2 linked regions of the Notamacropus eugenii genome follow. Each later gene encodes a partner of the first gene's protein in a complex. Links are inferred from orthologs where the notes say so. Each region holds a gene or a part of one and is shown in the gene's direction. Other genes may lie near its edges.

Region 1 (7,743 bases):
TGCTTGAAGACTTTCAAAAGGGGGAACCCATGACCTGCTACATCAGCCCACTCCACTTTGGGATAGCTAATAATAATTTTACAGTTGAGGAAACTGAGGCAAACAGAAGTTAAGTGTTCAAAGTCATACAGCTAGTAGTAATGATAACATCTATATATTAGTATACTATATATACTAATATATTAGTGTCTTATATATAGTAATATATTAGTATATTATGTATACTAATATATAGTATGTATATTACTATATACAATATATTTATAGTATAGTAAAAAATATTTATATGGTACTTACTCTATGCCAGGCACTATGCTAAACACTTTACAATTATTATCTCTTTTGATTCTCACAACAACCATGGGAGGTAGGTGCTATTATTATTTCCATTTTGCAGATGAGAAAACTGAGGTAAACAGAGGTTAAGTGACTTACCCAAGATCACACAGCAAGTATTTGAGGCTGAATTTGAATTCAGGTATGACCCTGGGCCCAGCTCCATTTGAAACACAATGTTGTTTTTTTTTTTAAAGCCTGTTTTTTCACAGATATATTTCAAGAAACCATAAAAAAAAAAATAAATTGTGCCAGCTTAAAAAAAATAAAAATAGACATGGACTATGTAACTCTGGGCAAATCAGAGAACTATACTGATCTAGTCCTTATCTCTATACTTTCTCCTTCCTCTAGGCAACTTCCAAGATTGGAAGTTGTAAAGAAAGTACCTAAGATTATTCTCCTTATCTGGGAAACTAAATAAATAAACTACCTCCATGCTTTCTCTTTCCCTGGGAATGCTGAAAAACAAAGCGTTACATTATCACCAGTTTTCACAGTATCCAAGATCTTCTCTACCTGCTCAGTATTGTGAGCCTGAAGTTGGATTGGCCTTGAAATATACCAGGTGATGAGAGATCATAAATATGAATAAAAATGGAAATCGGGATACGTAGCAACATATTTTATTGTCCCTCCCTTTTCTTTGAACATAGTAATCAGATCAACAGTAAATAAAATTCATTTCTGCCAGCCTCAGTTTCCTCATCTGTAAAATAGGGATAATAACAGTGATGGGGTGGTGGGACCTAGATCCCAAAAAGCCCTACCACCATGTCTCTGAAAGCAACCCAGCCCCTCCTCTCCCATCCATGAGAAAATTCTCTTCTTATTACAGATACAGACAGAGTTCACCCTGTAATTCCTTAGATAAACAACAGATACAGGGGTGCCTGACCCAAGCACTCTCCCTCATGTCAGATCCCCAAGGTCCATGCCTCTAACAGCTCCCTCAATGTCTGGTATCAACAAAATTATCTCTGAAAAACTCCCTACATTTTCCATAGATTACTGACGCCTGCTCCCATGACACTTGGACCCTTTGCATTACATAATTATTCCTTTCCCATGCCCCTTTTCTATATAAGCTCTAGATTCACCCCCATTAGGTTGTAAATTCTTTAAAGGAACTCTGCCCACTTCTATTGGTATTACAATAAACTGCCTCAACCGAAGGATGGCTTGAGTGTGTGAATTCATTCCAGGCAACCCTGCCTAGGCATTTTTAGGGTCCTAGCACTCCAAATTTCATCAATAGGACCTAGGATTGTTGTGAAGTTAAAATAAGACAATATTTGTAAAACACTACAAACCTTAAAGTGATCTATAAATGCTGGTAGTAGCAGTAGTAACAGCAGCAGCAACAGCAGCATTGCCTCTGGAAAGAATGAACTAGTTAATTGCCCTAAAGATCAACTCAATATCCCTGAGACCACTTTCCTGACCAAAACATCCCTTGGCTACCATTCTCCTATGTGTATTGTTTCACCCTATCACAGGAATTCTAGACCTTTTTTGTATCATAGACACCTTTGACAGATTGGTGAAAATTTATTGACCTCTTCTCAGAATGTTTTTTAATATATTAAAATACACGGGATTATAAAGGAAACCAATTACACTGAAGAAAAGTTATAATTTTTCTCATCCAAATTTTCAGATCCCGTGAAATCCATTTATGGATCCTATAGGAATTGGTGGACCTCAAATTAAGAATACCTGCTGTGTTGGAATATAAACTCCTTGAGAAAAGAAGCTATTTCACTTTTTATATATTTGTATCACTAATGCTTAGCTCTGTTCCTGGTACATAGTAACCATTTACTGATCTTTTCATTCATTTATTCATATCTCATCTTGTATAAAACTGTAAACAGGATCTTGATTCATGAATTGGTTTTTGTTCTCCAGATTGCAAATGTAGAAATCAGACAGTAATCAGATATTAGGCTTTCAAACCATAGTCTTACAGCTAATCAATAAGACCTTAAATATGCAATCATACAGATAGGTTTTTAAATATTTCATAGAAATTAGCTCAAATGATCTTTACAACAACCCCATGAGGTACAATAGATATAATCTACTGTTCAAAGGCCATTTTGTAGAGTTTTATGCAAATAGCCTTTGAGCTACAGGTTACATAGCTCTCAATCCCTCTGAGATGAGGAAAGTGTACTTGGAATTAGTTTAGTTAGGAAGGAACAGATAGTGAGTAGCCGAGCAAGGACTTAATTCTAGTATCCTTCATGTTTGAACTTTGAAGGACAAAAGTATTTATTGTTATATAACTGTAGAAATTGAATTTTAATGAAAGGGTAAACTGAGGTAGATCTCAGAGCAAGGTCATGTTACCTGTCAATAAATGGGTCAGTGGATTGCCTCCATTAATGCCAAACACCTGGAGCAAGAGGACAGATCTTCTTAATACAAGGTTTTGGAAATTACAAAGAGGAGGGTAGATGACATCTTGGGATCATGATTGGTCAAAGAGTTGAGGCACAGGGAACAACATGATTGGTAGGAAATTTGGTAATGGGGGCTAGCATTGACCCCTCTTCTCCTCTCATGATACTAAGAGGTGTTTATTGTCTGAGTGCAGGTGTGGGATAGTGGCTCAGCAAACTAGACATCCTTGAAGGAAAGCTTGGTGGAGTAAGAGTGTCAAGCCCAAACTTCCTTGCATTCTCACACATTCACCAAGATCAGTTAAGTTCCTTGAGGCAGGAGAGCTGTATTTTTAAAGCTAATCTGTTACAGACCAGCTGAACGCTGAATTCAGTTCAGAGACAAAGAACCATGATTGAAGCACTTAGGGGACAAAATCAATTAATTGTAAATAGGATCAATAAGAAAATAAGACAGGATCAATCTTAATCTCCTCAACTTATAGGGATAAATAGCATGAAGCTTACAGAGCACATATTAATAATGTATCCAGGTATTTAAAACATCCGCTATCATCATCATCCTCATCACTAAAGTTTACGTAGTGCCTACTATGTTTCGGGCACTGCGCTTTAGAAACACGTTGTTGTTCAGTCATGTGGACTCTTTGTGACTCCCTTTGGAGTTTTCTTGGCAGAGATACTGGGGGTGGTTTGCCATTTCCTTCTCCAGCTTATTTGACAGATGGGGAAACTGAGGCAGGCAGAAGTTAAGTGATTTGTCCCAGGGTCACACAGATCGTATGTATCAGGTTCTACCTGACCCTATCCAAATGCGCCACCTGCCTGCCACTACTTAGAACTGGAAGGGACCTTGGAGACTTTGTCCAATCCCTTTATTTTAAAAATGAGGAAACAGAGGTTTAGAGAATTTGTGCTTTGCCTCAGGTTACATAGACTGAATTTGAACCCCCGTCTTCCTCATTCCAGCTCTAGCACTCTATCTCCGACACCACGGAGAGCAGCTGCGTGATGGATGTGAGAAGATATTTGCTTTTCATCGATTCTTATACTGAATCAGTCTTGTGATAGAGAGAGAGGAATTTCTGCCTTTCATTCGTATCGGCTGCAGAAATGTGGGAAGACCACTTTAACTCTCGGTGCCCAGGCTGAGTGCACATTACAGAAATGTTGCCCGATTATCCGTGAGGGCAGTTCTGCGGACCTGTGAAATCTCCCGAGTGTGTTGGTAAATGTTGAACTGTGTTTAACTGTGCGTGTGCGTGTGCGTGTGTGCGTGTGTGTGTGTGTGCGGGTGTGTAATGTGCTCATCATTTATTTATTATTATTAAATAAACAAATATTATTTATTTATTATTATTTTTAAATCTGCATTGTTTGACTGTACAAAACTGAAAACAAAATAATTTTTAAAAAATGCATCGTTAACATTCCTTCATCTCTGTCTTGAATTCTAGACAATCAATAAAACAGATCAAGTCCTTCATCTGGAGCATTTGCCGATTTCCAAGTTATTCAGCAGCCAGTTCTGCGGGTAAGGAGCTCGCTCCAGCACATCTCTGGCCGTGTCTACCTGATTAAAACAAAATTAATCAATGATCGTCACTTTTTTTATGTCCCTTGATACCCCCTCTCCAATGTAATATAACATCATTCCCAAACTGTTATAAAAGAAGGCGCAGAACAAGGGATTGACTTTCCCGGTCACAAAGTGAACACAAAGGCGCAGGTGAGACTGGACGACTCGACACAGATAATGTTTTTGTACGTTACCCAGAAGGGAAACAGCTTGAAAGCAAGGTAGCACCAACCACCCAGACTACTAGATTTCTATCATATGGACTACAATTCCCAGAAAGCAACGCGACGTATTTTCGTTGCAGTCCCAACCCTCGGGAGCTGAAAGTCACAAGCTCCGCCCATCGCGCCCTCTGGATTGGCCAGTTACGTTCTTCTTGACTTAAGGGCGCAGGGGAGGGGAGGGGCAAATAGACATCTGTAAGTTTCCCGCCATGAGGACGTATCGGAACGCCAAGGGGAGGAAGGAGCTGCCCATTGGGCACACGTTCTTCCGCCCGCGGAAGTTGCAGCCAATCAGAATCCAACCTGCTTCCGCAGCCGCCTAGGAAGTAACTTTGGGTGGCGGGAAAAGTGAAGTAACTTTCGCGCCTGGGGAGGAGTCAGCGCTGGGGGAGCGAAGAAGCGGAGTCCATTCTGCAGTCTGGAAGCATGGCTGCCACCACCGTGATAGACGATGTGGAGCTGCGGGAGGCGCAGAGAGATTACCTGGACTTCCTGGACGACGAGGTGAGGGCTCCGCGTGTGTGCGTGCGTGTTGGGGGAGGAGGGGGTCAGGGGAAGGCCGTGTGGCCGTTGGCTCCGGCGGAGGCGGGCGCTGGGCAGGGAAGAGGCCCGAGGAAGAGGAGGGTCCTTCTGTCTTCCTCTCGGCCGGCTTGGTTGGAGGGAGCGGGGTCCGGGCCGTAGGTGCGAGCCCAGGCGGGTGGGGGTGGGTGGGAGGGCTCGCCAGGAGCCCTTCACGCCCCCTGTCCCGGACCGTGTGACCCCCCAAAAGCTAGCGTGGGTTAGAGTGAAACCGTGGGCTTCTGTTGGATTCGGGGTGCCGGGATGCTCCAGGCTTTGTTCTCTCGGGGGTGGGGCCGGACAGGGGGTGGGGCTGGGTAGGGTCCACCTGGGAAAAGTTCTTGTCTGCGATCTTTGTTGTAGCCAAAACTAGTCTGGAGCTTCTGGCACCAGACACGTGCGTAGTGACTCGTGTCGAATGGAAATAGTTCTTGAAAAATTTCTCGTGGCATTTTTTTGTTTTTGGCATAGACAGCTGTGAACATCACCATCTAAAGAGAGGGAGCACAGACCTCCCAGACGCTGGTGTGCTTTTCCAGGCTGGTGTTTGTTTTGTTTTTGGCAGGGAGGCAGGGTGGAGGAGAAGATGCTTGTCCTGGGTGTTGTGTTTACTTAATCCAGATAAATAAGAAATCATGTTTATCTGTCAAGTGGATTAGCTTGTCCTGTCGAGATGGCTCCCCCACCTAGGCAGTGCTGGTTGACGAAGACTGTCTTCCTGTAAATAACGGGGTCTATCTGATTTCTCAGTAAGTTGGGAATCAGTACATGAAGATCCCTAAGGGGATAGCCTGGCCCTAATACTTAAACCAGGGGAGGATAAAGTAAAGAGAACTATACATCAGTATCGTTAATGAGTATTGGTTATAATTTTAAAAATTTTTAGCAAAAAAAGTGGTACTATATAAAAAAATTAGTCATTGTGAACAAGTTAGCATTCTACTATGGATGCAAGGATGATACAGAATTAGAAAAGCAATTAATAGTCGTTCATATTAAAAACAAAACCACTGTAAACTACAGGATTGTATGAATAGATGCAGGAAAAGCCTTTGAGGAAGTGTATCATTTATTTATGCTAAAAATTCTACGTCATAGACCTTGAAGGGTTATTTTTAATAATGAAATCATTTCTAAAATCATTTGCAATGGGAAAACACAGAAACTTTTCCTTATTCCATGTTAGGTCAGAAGATAAAGGATGATATTATCTAAATTAATTTGCAGACTTAATACTTTGCCAAATCAATTACCAAGGGGATACTTGACAGAGGTAGGCAAAATAATAATAAAAATCATTTGGAGGAATGAAAGATTCAGAATCTCAAAGGAAATAATGAAAAAAATAAGAGTGAAGGGTATTACTTCTAGACCTTTGGTTTTGCTGTGAAGCAGTAATCATTGAAACTATTTGGTATTGGTTAAAAAAATTAGAAAAGTAGATTGATAGAACAAATTGAAAAAAGAAGAATGAAAAACAATTGAACTTAATAACCCAGAAGAGATAAATTACTTGATAAAGAATTCCATATTTGAAAGAATTGTTGGGAAAACTGGAAAGCAGATTGGCAGAAATTAAATCTAGAGCACCATCTTAGACAATAATAAGGTAAAAATGAATGTGCAACTTGAATGAAAGGTAATACTCTAAAAGGCAAATGAAAGGTGATATAAAAATTTAGATGACAGGTTAAGTTCATTTCACTTCTGTGACTAGGATAAGAAGATCTTCCCCCCCCCCCCCACCAAACATGGAAGGAGTATACAGGTGATCATATAACATAAAATAGATAAAACCTTTTTCACAAAGAAAATCCATGTAACTTGGGTAAAAAGGAAAGTGTTGGATTGGGGGAAAAGCCTTTGCATTACCTATAGAGATCTCTAAGGGTCCTGGATATACAAAGAACCAATGCAAGTACGTCAGGCCAAGAATCATTTATCATTCGATATGATCAAAGAATATGAACAGTTCTTAGAAGATTTACAAGCTGTTAATGAACTTGTGAAAGATTATTTCAAGTCATTAATAACAAGAGAGATGAAAGTGAAAGCAACTCAAATTTCACTTCACCCAGGAAATTGGCAAAGATCACAGAAGATGCAAATAGTCCATGAAGCTGGGCACATTAATACCTTTTTTTATGGAACTATATATGGGTCAAACTGTTCAATAAAGTAATCTGGAATTCAAAGAAAGTGACTGAAATATTCCTACCCTTTGAGAACCTCCTGGGTACATACTCTGATGTCAGTGATAGAAAAGCACATATACCAAAAACATAGAAAGTAGATAATCATCAAGTAGGGATTGGCTAAACAAATTGTTGTATGATGAATGTAATAAAATGTGGACATGTAAGAAGTGTGATTTGAAGAATGAGAAGGTTAAGGTTCCAGAATGAGATAAAGCAGAACCAGGAAAACAACCTCTATATCTATTTATATATAGTGTAATGGTGTAAATGGGAAGAAAGATAATAAAATAAAAGTAAGAGATAATAAAAAAAGAAACTGAATGCTATATAACATAATGATTAAAGCTGGTCCTAGAGCAGAGATTTTTAAAAATTGCCTCCTTCATAGAGACTTCATCCAATTCCAATCATCTTAACCTTCCTCCACCTCTTGAAAAGGC
Region 2 (6,919 bases), on another chromosome or scaffold:
AAAAGGTTTACATTTTAATGGGACAGACAACATGCAAACAAATAAATACAAAGTAAGATTTATACAGGATAAATAGGAAATAATTAACAGAGGAAAGGCACTGGAATTTAGAGGGTTTAGGAAAAACTTGTAGAAGGCGAGATTTTAGTTAAAGGAATTTAAAGGAAGCCAAGGAGTCATTGTGGAGGAGGGAGATCATTGCAAGCATAGGCAACACCCAGGGAGAATGCCCAGTGTCTGGAGATGAAGTGGAACATTCAGGGTTTGAGATTTTAAGTCCAAATTTACCTAGTAGAATAAGAGACTTTCCCCCATATTAAAAGAATTATCGGCATCATTGAGAAGATAGGATTTGAATTTGGGCGAAGGGTGAGAGATCTTTTCTCAAGAAAGTAAAATAATGACTATAATAAATACCCCAAGTAACTGCAAAGATCCTATGAAGGAAGATGCTGTTTGCATCCAGAAAAGGAACTGATTACACACACACACACACACACACACACACACACACACGTCTATCCTTCTGGGGGGGAGGGGGAAAAAGTTATAGGATAACTATTGTATATTTGAAAGGAATAGCATAATGGATCTGCAGCTTCTGGTGTAATCCTCTTTTTTTCTATTCCACTTTGTTCTAGAAATGCTTGTTTTATTTCTCAAGTTCAGAATTTAAAAAAAAACACATGCAAAAAAATTTCAAAAGAAACATAATGCCTTTTCTGGCCTAGGTGCACCTCTTGCATCCTCTTTCTCTGATTTGTTAATTTAGATTCTAGCTAGATTGTGAACTGCTTGAGGGCAGAGACTTTTTCTTAAATGTCCCTAAATCTCCACTAGCTGATTATATATGGAAGTTTTATTTACATTGAAAGACAGCCTGCTTTGGGGACACAGAGACGGCCCTGGAGCCAGAAAGTACTGGTTGTCCCCCTGGACAAATCAGTCAATAACCATGAAGCACTTCCCACGCACCAGATTCTGTGCTAAGTTTACCTCAATTATTTCACTAGCCAGGTAGGGGTGTGCTGGTAAATGTTTAAGATTCACTTTGAAGTTTAATCTGCATCATTAATATTTGGTCTCTCTTTCTCAAGTGTAGACCACCAGTACAACAATAAATCAGGCCCCGATCGATGGCCTCTGCCCATTTCAAAGGTGTAGATGCTCACAGTGAAAGTTTAACAATCATTTCAGCTAACACTCCTTTGCTCTTGGGGCGTTAGGCAACTCTCTAAAATGATAAATTACAGAGAATATATATGTCTGCTTTGGCAGAGAATTTCTTATCCAGGAATTCCCTATAACAATTTAGAGATATTATCTTCAGTTGCTCCCTGCTGCCTCAAGTCTGGCTTCTACCTCCTTCCATTTTCAGTCTCAACTCGTATTACTTCAGTAAACATTTATTAAGTGCTTACTAAGTGCTAGGAACTGTGTTCAGCCCCCAAGGATACAAAAAAAGGCAAAAGACAGGCCCTTCTCTCAAGAAGCTTACAATCCAATGGAGGACGAACCAATATACACAAAGCAAGCTATGTACAGGGTAAATAGGAAATGATTAACAGAGGGAAGGCACTGGAATTAAGGGATTGAAAAAGTGGGATTTTAGTTGAGACTAAGTCAGTAGGAAGAGCAGAAGAGGGAGACCATTGAAAGAATGGAGGAAAGTCAGAAAAAATGCCCAGTCAAGAGATGGAGTGTCTCACTACAGAACAGCCAGGAGGCCTTCATCACTTGATCAAAAACTACCTGGGGGGGAGGGGGAGGAGGGTGGTGTATAAAGTGTAAGGAGGCTGGAAAAGTAGGAAGGCATTAGGTTATGAAGGACTTTTAATACCAAATAATTTTATATTTGATGCTGGAGGCAATAGGGAGTCCCTGGAATTTATTGAGTAGAGAGGTGACATGGTTAGACTTGCTCTTTAGGATTTCACTTTAGCGGCTAAATGGTGGATGGACTGGAGTGGGAAGAGACTTAAGGCAGGAAGACCCACTAACAGTCTACTGCAGTAATCAAGGCATGAGGATTTGCAGTGTCAGAGGAGAAAACGTGGTGAGGTCAAGAGATGTGGCAGAGATGAAATGAACAGGCCCTGGTAACAGCTTAGATTATTGGAGGGGGGGATATGAGAGAGGGTTTGGAGTCCAGGATGACTCCTAGGTTGTGAGACTGAGGGAGGAGGAGGTTGGTGTTATCCTTTACAGTAACAGGAAAGGAGAAGGGGAGGGTTTCAGGGGGAGAGATAATGAGTTCTGTTTTGGACATGTTGAATTTAAGATGTCTATGGGACATCCAGCTAGAGATGTCTCAAAGGCAGTTGGAGATGAGAGACTGGAGGTCAGAAGAGAGTTTGGGGCAGGACAGGTAGACTCAGCAAAGTCATGGTCATAATTATCCTTGGGAGCTGATGAGATCACCAAGTGAAGAAGCATGGAGGGAGAAGATGCCCTCTGGGTATCAGTCACAGAGGCCTACAATTTCCTAACCATAGGACACAATCCCTCCTGCTTCTGTCCTTTACACATCCTGCCTCCTATTCTGGTTCTCCTCTGCAACTAGCTTCACCCCACTAGAAATTCAGACTCACTTTGTGGCTCTGACAGCTGAGGTTTTCTGCCTTAGAATGCCACCCACCATAAGGCCTTCATGCCCTGCCTTCCCCCAGGAGAGCATGAGTCCCTAGAGATCAGGTTTGTATCTCCATGCCCTGACACTTAGAACAGCGCCTGACAAACAGTAAACCCTCTATGTGGTGTTCTCTCTCTCTCTCTATTTGGTGTGCATGGGGCGCTCAGGGAGGTTGAGCACCTCTGGGGTCCCCATTACCCAGCTCTGGCCTTGGGCTCCAAGAAGCTGGAGCAAGCGCATGGGCCACACCTGGGCCACATCCGGGCCACATCCGGGTAAAGGAGTCTCAGCAGATGTGCTGTGGACAACGGCCAGACCTCAAACCTCCCAGAGTAGGGAAGGGTCTACTCCAGACACATAAAGGTGCCCCCTGCCTGAGTGGCCGCTGTTCCAACGGCTGGTAAGGTGGATGAAACAGGCACTGCAGGGCCGCTTAGAGCTCTGTCGGACATCAGATGCCAAGGTCGTCCTCTGCCCCCGGGCCACCGCCGAACCTTCGGACTCTGAGGCCGATGACTTGGTGCGGTCACTGGGCCTCTTCGAAAATGACGGATGAACGACCTCTAGTAAATATCGATCTGTCTGTCCGTCTGGACGCTTGGGACGGACACTCCTCTGCTCTCCCTCTCCTGATTCGCCTGGCACTGCTGGTGTAACTGTACTGAATTCAACCTCCTCGGCGTGTTCCTTTAGCAGAGGTGGGAACCGAGGCTTGGAGGCAGGATTCACACAGCTGGCAGGGTCATGAGGCTGGATTTGAACCCAGGCCTGGCCGACTCCCCAGAACGTCATGCCCAAAGGCAATGGGGCGGCAGGAGGAGTCCCGCGGTGAGGGGCTGCGGGCTGGGTGCCAGAGGTCACTGCTGAAGGTCACCGCTGAAGGTCACCGCTGAAGGTCACTGCTGGCTCCTCCGGGTATCCGTGCTGAGCCAGACACTCGCTTTCCAGGCGGGGTTGGGGCCAATGCAGAGAGAGGCCCAACGCTCCTGACTTGGGCTTCGGTAACATTTGGGGGGCCCTCGGGGAGCCCACTCGCTGCGGAGCTCTCTGTCTCTGCGGATCCGGAACGAGCCGGGGTCTCTGGCCGACCCCCCGCAGGTCTGAGGGAATCCCCCCTCCCCCGCACTCGAGACCCCCAAGGGAGGGAGCGCCCGGCCCCAGCCTAGAAAACCCGGAAACGCCGGCGCCGACCAAGGGGGCGGGGCGCGCGCTCGTCCAATCCCGGAGAAGGTGACGTGTGACGCCCCGCCCCTGGGATGCGTAATCTCTCCTGATAGGTCCTCCCGAGGCTCCTCGCGCGCCAGGGGGAGGGGCGGTCGGAGTGGCGGGAAGTTGGCGGCTCCGCCTCCGCCTTTCCCTCCCAGCTTGTGCTCCGGAGGACCCCGGGACTTACCCATGGACCCGGCCGAGGTGGAGTTCCTGGCCGAGAAGGAAATGGTCACCATCATCCCCAACTTCAGCCTGGACAAGATCTACCTCATCGGGGTACTCGGATGCCGGCCTCCCCTCCCCCCGTGCCTCAGTTTCCCTCCTCCCCTCGCGACCCCCCAGCACCTCAGTCTCCTCTCTCGCCTTTGCGGCCCTCCCCGTCCCCTTCTCCCGAGTATCAGACCAGGCCCTCAGGTTGGGGGTCGGCTCCCCTAGAACCCCGCCCCGGACTTGCGCTTGTCCTCCCCGAATCCCTCCCTCTTGTCTTTGGAGCCCTCCTCTGGCCACAGATATCACCCACCCTCCCCTGCCTCCCCCTCCCCCTCCCTCTTCTTCTCCCCCTCCCTTCCCCGCTCTCCTCCCCCGCCCCCTTTCCTCTCTGTCTCTCTGTGTCTCTCTGTCTCTCTGTCTCCCTCTCTCTGTCTCTCTGTCTCTCTTTCTCTGCCTCTCCCCCTCCCCCTCCCTTCCCCGTTCTCCTCCCCCGCCCCCTTTCCTCTCTGTCTCTCTCTCTCTGTTTCTCTCTGCCTTTCTGTCTCTGTCTTCCTGTCTCTGTATCTGTCTCTCTGTCTCTCTGTCTCTGTCTCTCTGTCTCCCTCTCTCTGTCTCTCCCCCTCCCCCTCCCTTCCCCGTTCTCCTCCCCCGCCCCCTTTCCTCTCTGTCTCTCTCTCTCTGTTTCTCTCTGCCTTTCTGTCTCTGTCTTCCTGTCTCTGTATCTGTCTCTCTGTCTCTCTGTCTCCCTCTCTCTGTCTCTCTCCCTCCCTCCCTTTTTCTTTTCTCTCCTCCCCCCCCCCCCACCCAAATTGTAGGTTTGAGGTAGACTTCCTGAGAGTAACAGTAAGTTATTGTAGTAACCTAAGCCGTAGCTGTATTTGGACACTCAAGTGTCAGTGCCTTCCCAATGGCAGGGTGCCATCTTTGAGTCATTTTGTATCTTTTTTTTCCTTAATACCATTACTCTACAGAATCCAAGCGGTTCGTTTGGCTGAGGTTCACCTAAGTGTTTTCTGTCTCTTGTTTTCTTACGGTGACTTGTTTTCCCTCTCTGCCAGGGAGATCTGGGACCTTTTAATCCTGGTTTACCTGTGGAAGTACCTCTTTGGCTGGCAATGAACCTAAAACAGAGACAGAAGTGCCGCGTGATTCCTCCTGAATGGATGGATGTCGGTAAGGAAGGGGCCTGAAGTCTAGTTGGAAGCTAAGGATGGATTTAGGGACAGTGGATTGTTTTATGTCTTGAGTGGTGGGTTCTCTGCCCTTGGTTGGGCAGGGGCTTACCTCTTTCCTATCTACTGAACACTTGAAGTTGCTGTTGTCACTTAGGGAACTGCCACTTGCACAACAAAACCTTGCATTCTTATTTAATTTTTGTGTCCTTGAGGAAGTTACAGTTTCTATCTTGATTTTATAGTGTAAGTAGTATTGTGCCTTTAAACATACTTATATATACATATATATGCATATGTATATGCATACTATAGGAAGACACTGAAGTTCAGCGAGATGAAAGAATTTTCCCAAGGCCCCCAGCAGGAAACATGACAGGGATGGAGGGACCAAAACTGGACCTCCTGACTTCACATACCTACTGTGTTGCCTCCCACTGAAGAACATTTTATAGGGCTGCCTTTAGGGTCGGAGCTATCTTTACTGAGCATTTGATCCAAATGGCTCTAGTTACGTTATTTAAGTTTTAAACTTTGGAGGTTTTGTTTTCCAGTAGAAGTGGAACCAGGATAAGAGGGGTCTTCTTTTGTTAGAGTACTGGGCCTGGATATGACCTCAGCCACGGACCAACTGAGTATCCTGGGCAAGTCACTTCACCCTTGTCTGCCTCAGTTTCCTTCTCTATGAAATGATAATAATAGCACCTACGTCAAAGGGTTGGTGCAAGGATCAAATGAGATAATATTGGTGAAGTGCAATAACACAGTGCCCAGCACTTAGTAGGTGCTTTATGAATGTTTCTTCCCTCCCTGCCTCCCTAGAGAGGCATCTAGCTCTAGAAGCCCCAAACCAGTCGAGAGGAATGCCAAGTGTCTGTGCCTCTCAGCACAGAAGTGGAAGGCATGTTTCCCATGTTGTAAGGGGCCTATTTTAAAAAGCACCTAATGGACCATTGAGATATTGCAGCCCTTGAAGATTCCATTCACAGTTAGGGCTGTGGAGTCACATGGTGTGGCATTGGTTTAGGAGTTGGGAGATTTTCATTCTAAGTCTGGCTCTGACCTTAGTAGCTGTGGGAGCCAAGACAAGACTCCGAACTTCTGTTTCTTCATCTAAAATGAGGGTGTTGGATTAAACAACTTCTGAGAGGTCACTTTGGTTCCATACTCCATGATACCAGTGCTCTCCTGGATAAGGATGGAATTCACTCATGGTCTTTTCCTATAAAAGAGGCTTTGGGGGATTTGGAAAGGAATTTGGAGATTCCTTTCACCTACATGTGTCCCTGATGGCTAAGGGCAAAAGTTTCTCTTATAGCCTAGTTCAATAAGAATTCAGTGCTTGAAGAATTAGGTGCAGAGATAGTTTGGAATTTTTAAATGGATTATGTCCATCTTAGGTTTAAGAGCCATAAAGTCATGTTTGACTAGAATAAAAATGTAATTTCACTATATCATTTCAGTATGTGATAATCCTGGTATATCGGAGGCTTTGGCAGAGACTGGACCTGGCTGATATACCACCATCTAGGCCAAGTCTCATTGACTTGTTCAAGGAAGACATAGCCATAACACATAAATACTTTTTGCTGAGGAAAAAGTTCTTATCATTATTTTTTCCCATCCCAGGGAAGTGGCCATCCGCTCTGTAGTCTATCTGATGCCTCTAATTTTGGAATTGCTATTGTTTTCTGCT

What was found. Proteins that work in one complex are often made in the same cells at the same time.
Region 2: MCM3 (region 1) and GINS2 share a complex: the UniProt entries of both Homo sapiens proteins name them as parts of the CMG helicase complex. The link is inferred for Notamacropus eugenii from reciprocal best matches to the Homo sapiens genes MCM3 and GINS2.

Annotation. Positions count from the first base shown.
Region 1 is NC_092873.1:118,548,559-118,556,301, reverse strand, and holds the start of MCM3 (DNA replication licensing factor MCM3), read left to right. Parts: upstream 1-4,738; 5' UTR 4,739-4,973; coding exon 4,974-5,051; intron 5,052-7,743. UniProt on the Homo sapiens protein: Acts as a component of the MCM2-7 complex (MCM complex) which is the replicative helicase essential for 'once per cell cycle' DNA replication initiation and elongation in eukaryotic cells.
Region 2 is NC_092872.1:700,243,607-700,250,525, reverse strand, and holds the start of GINS2 (DNA replication complex GINS protein PSF2), read left to right. Parts: upstream 1-3,913; 5' UTR 3,914-4,027; coding exon 4,028-4,117; intron 4,118-5,109; coding exon 5,110-5,224; intron 5,225-6,919. UniProt on the Homo sapiens protein: Required for correct functioning of the GINS complex, a complex that plays an essential role in the initiation of DNA replication, and progression of DNA replication forks.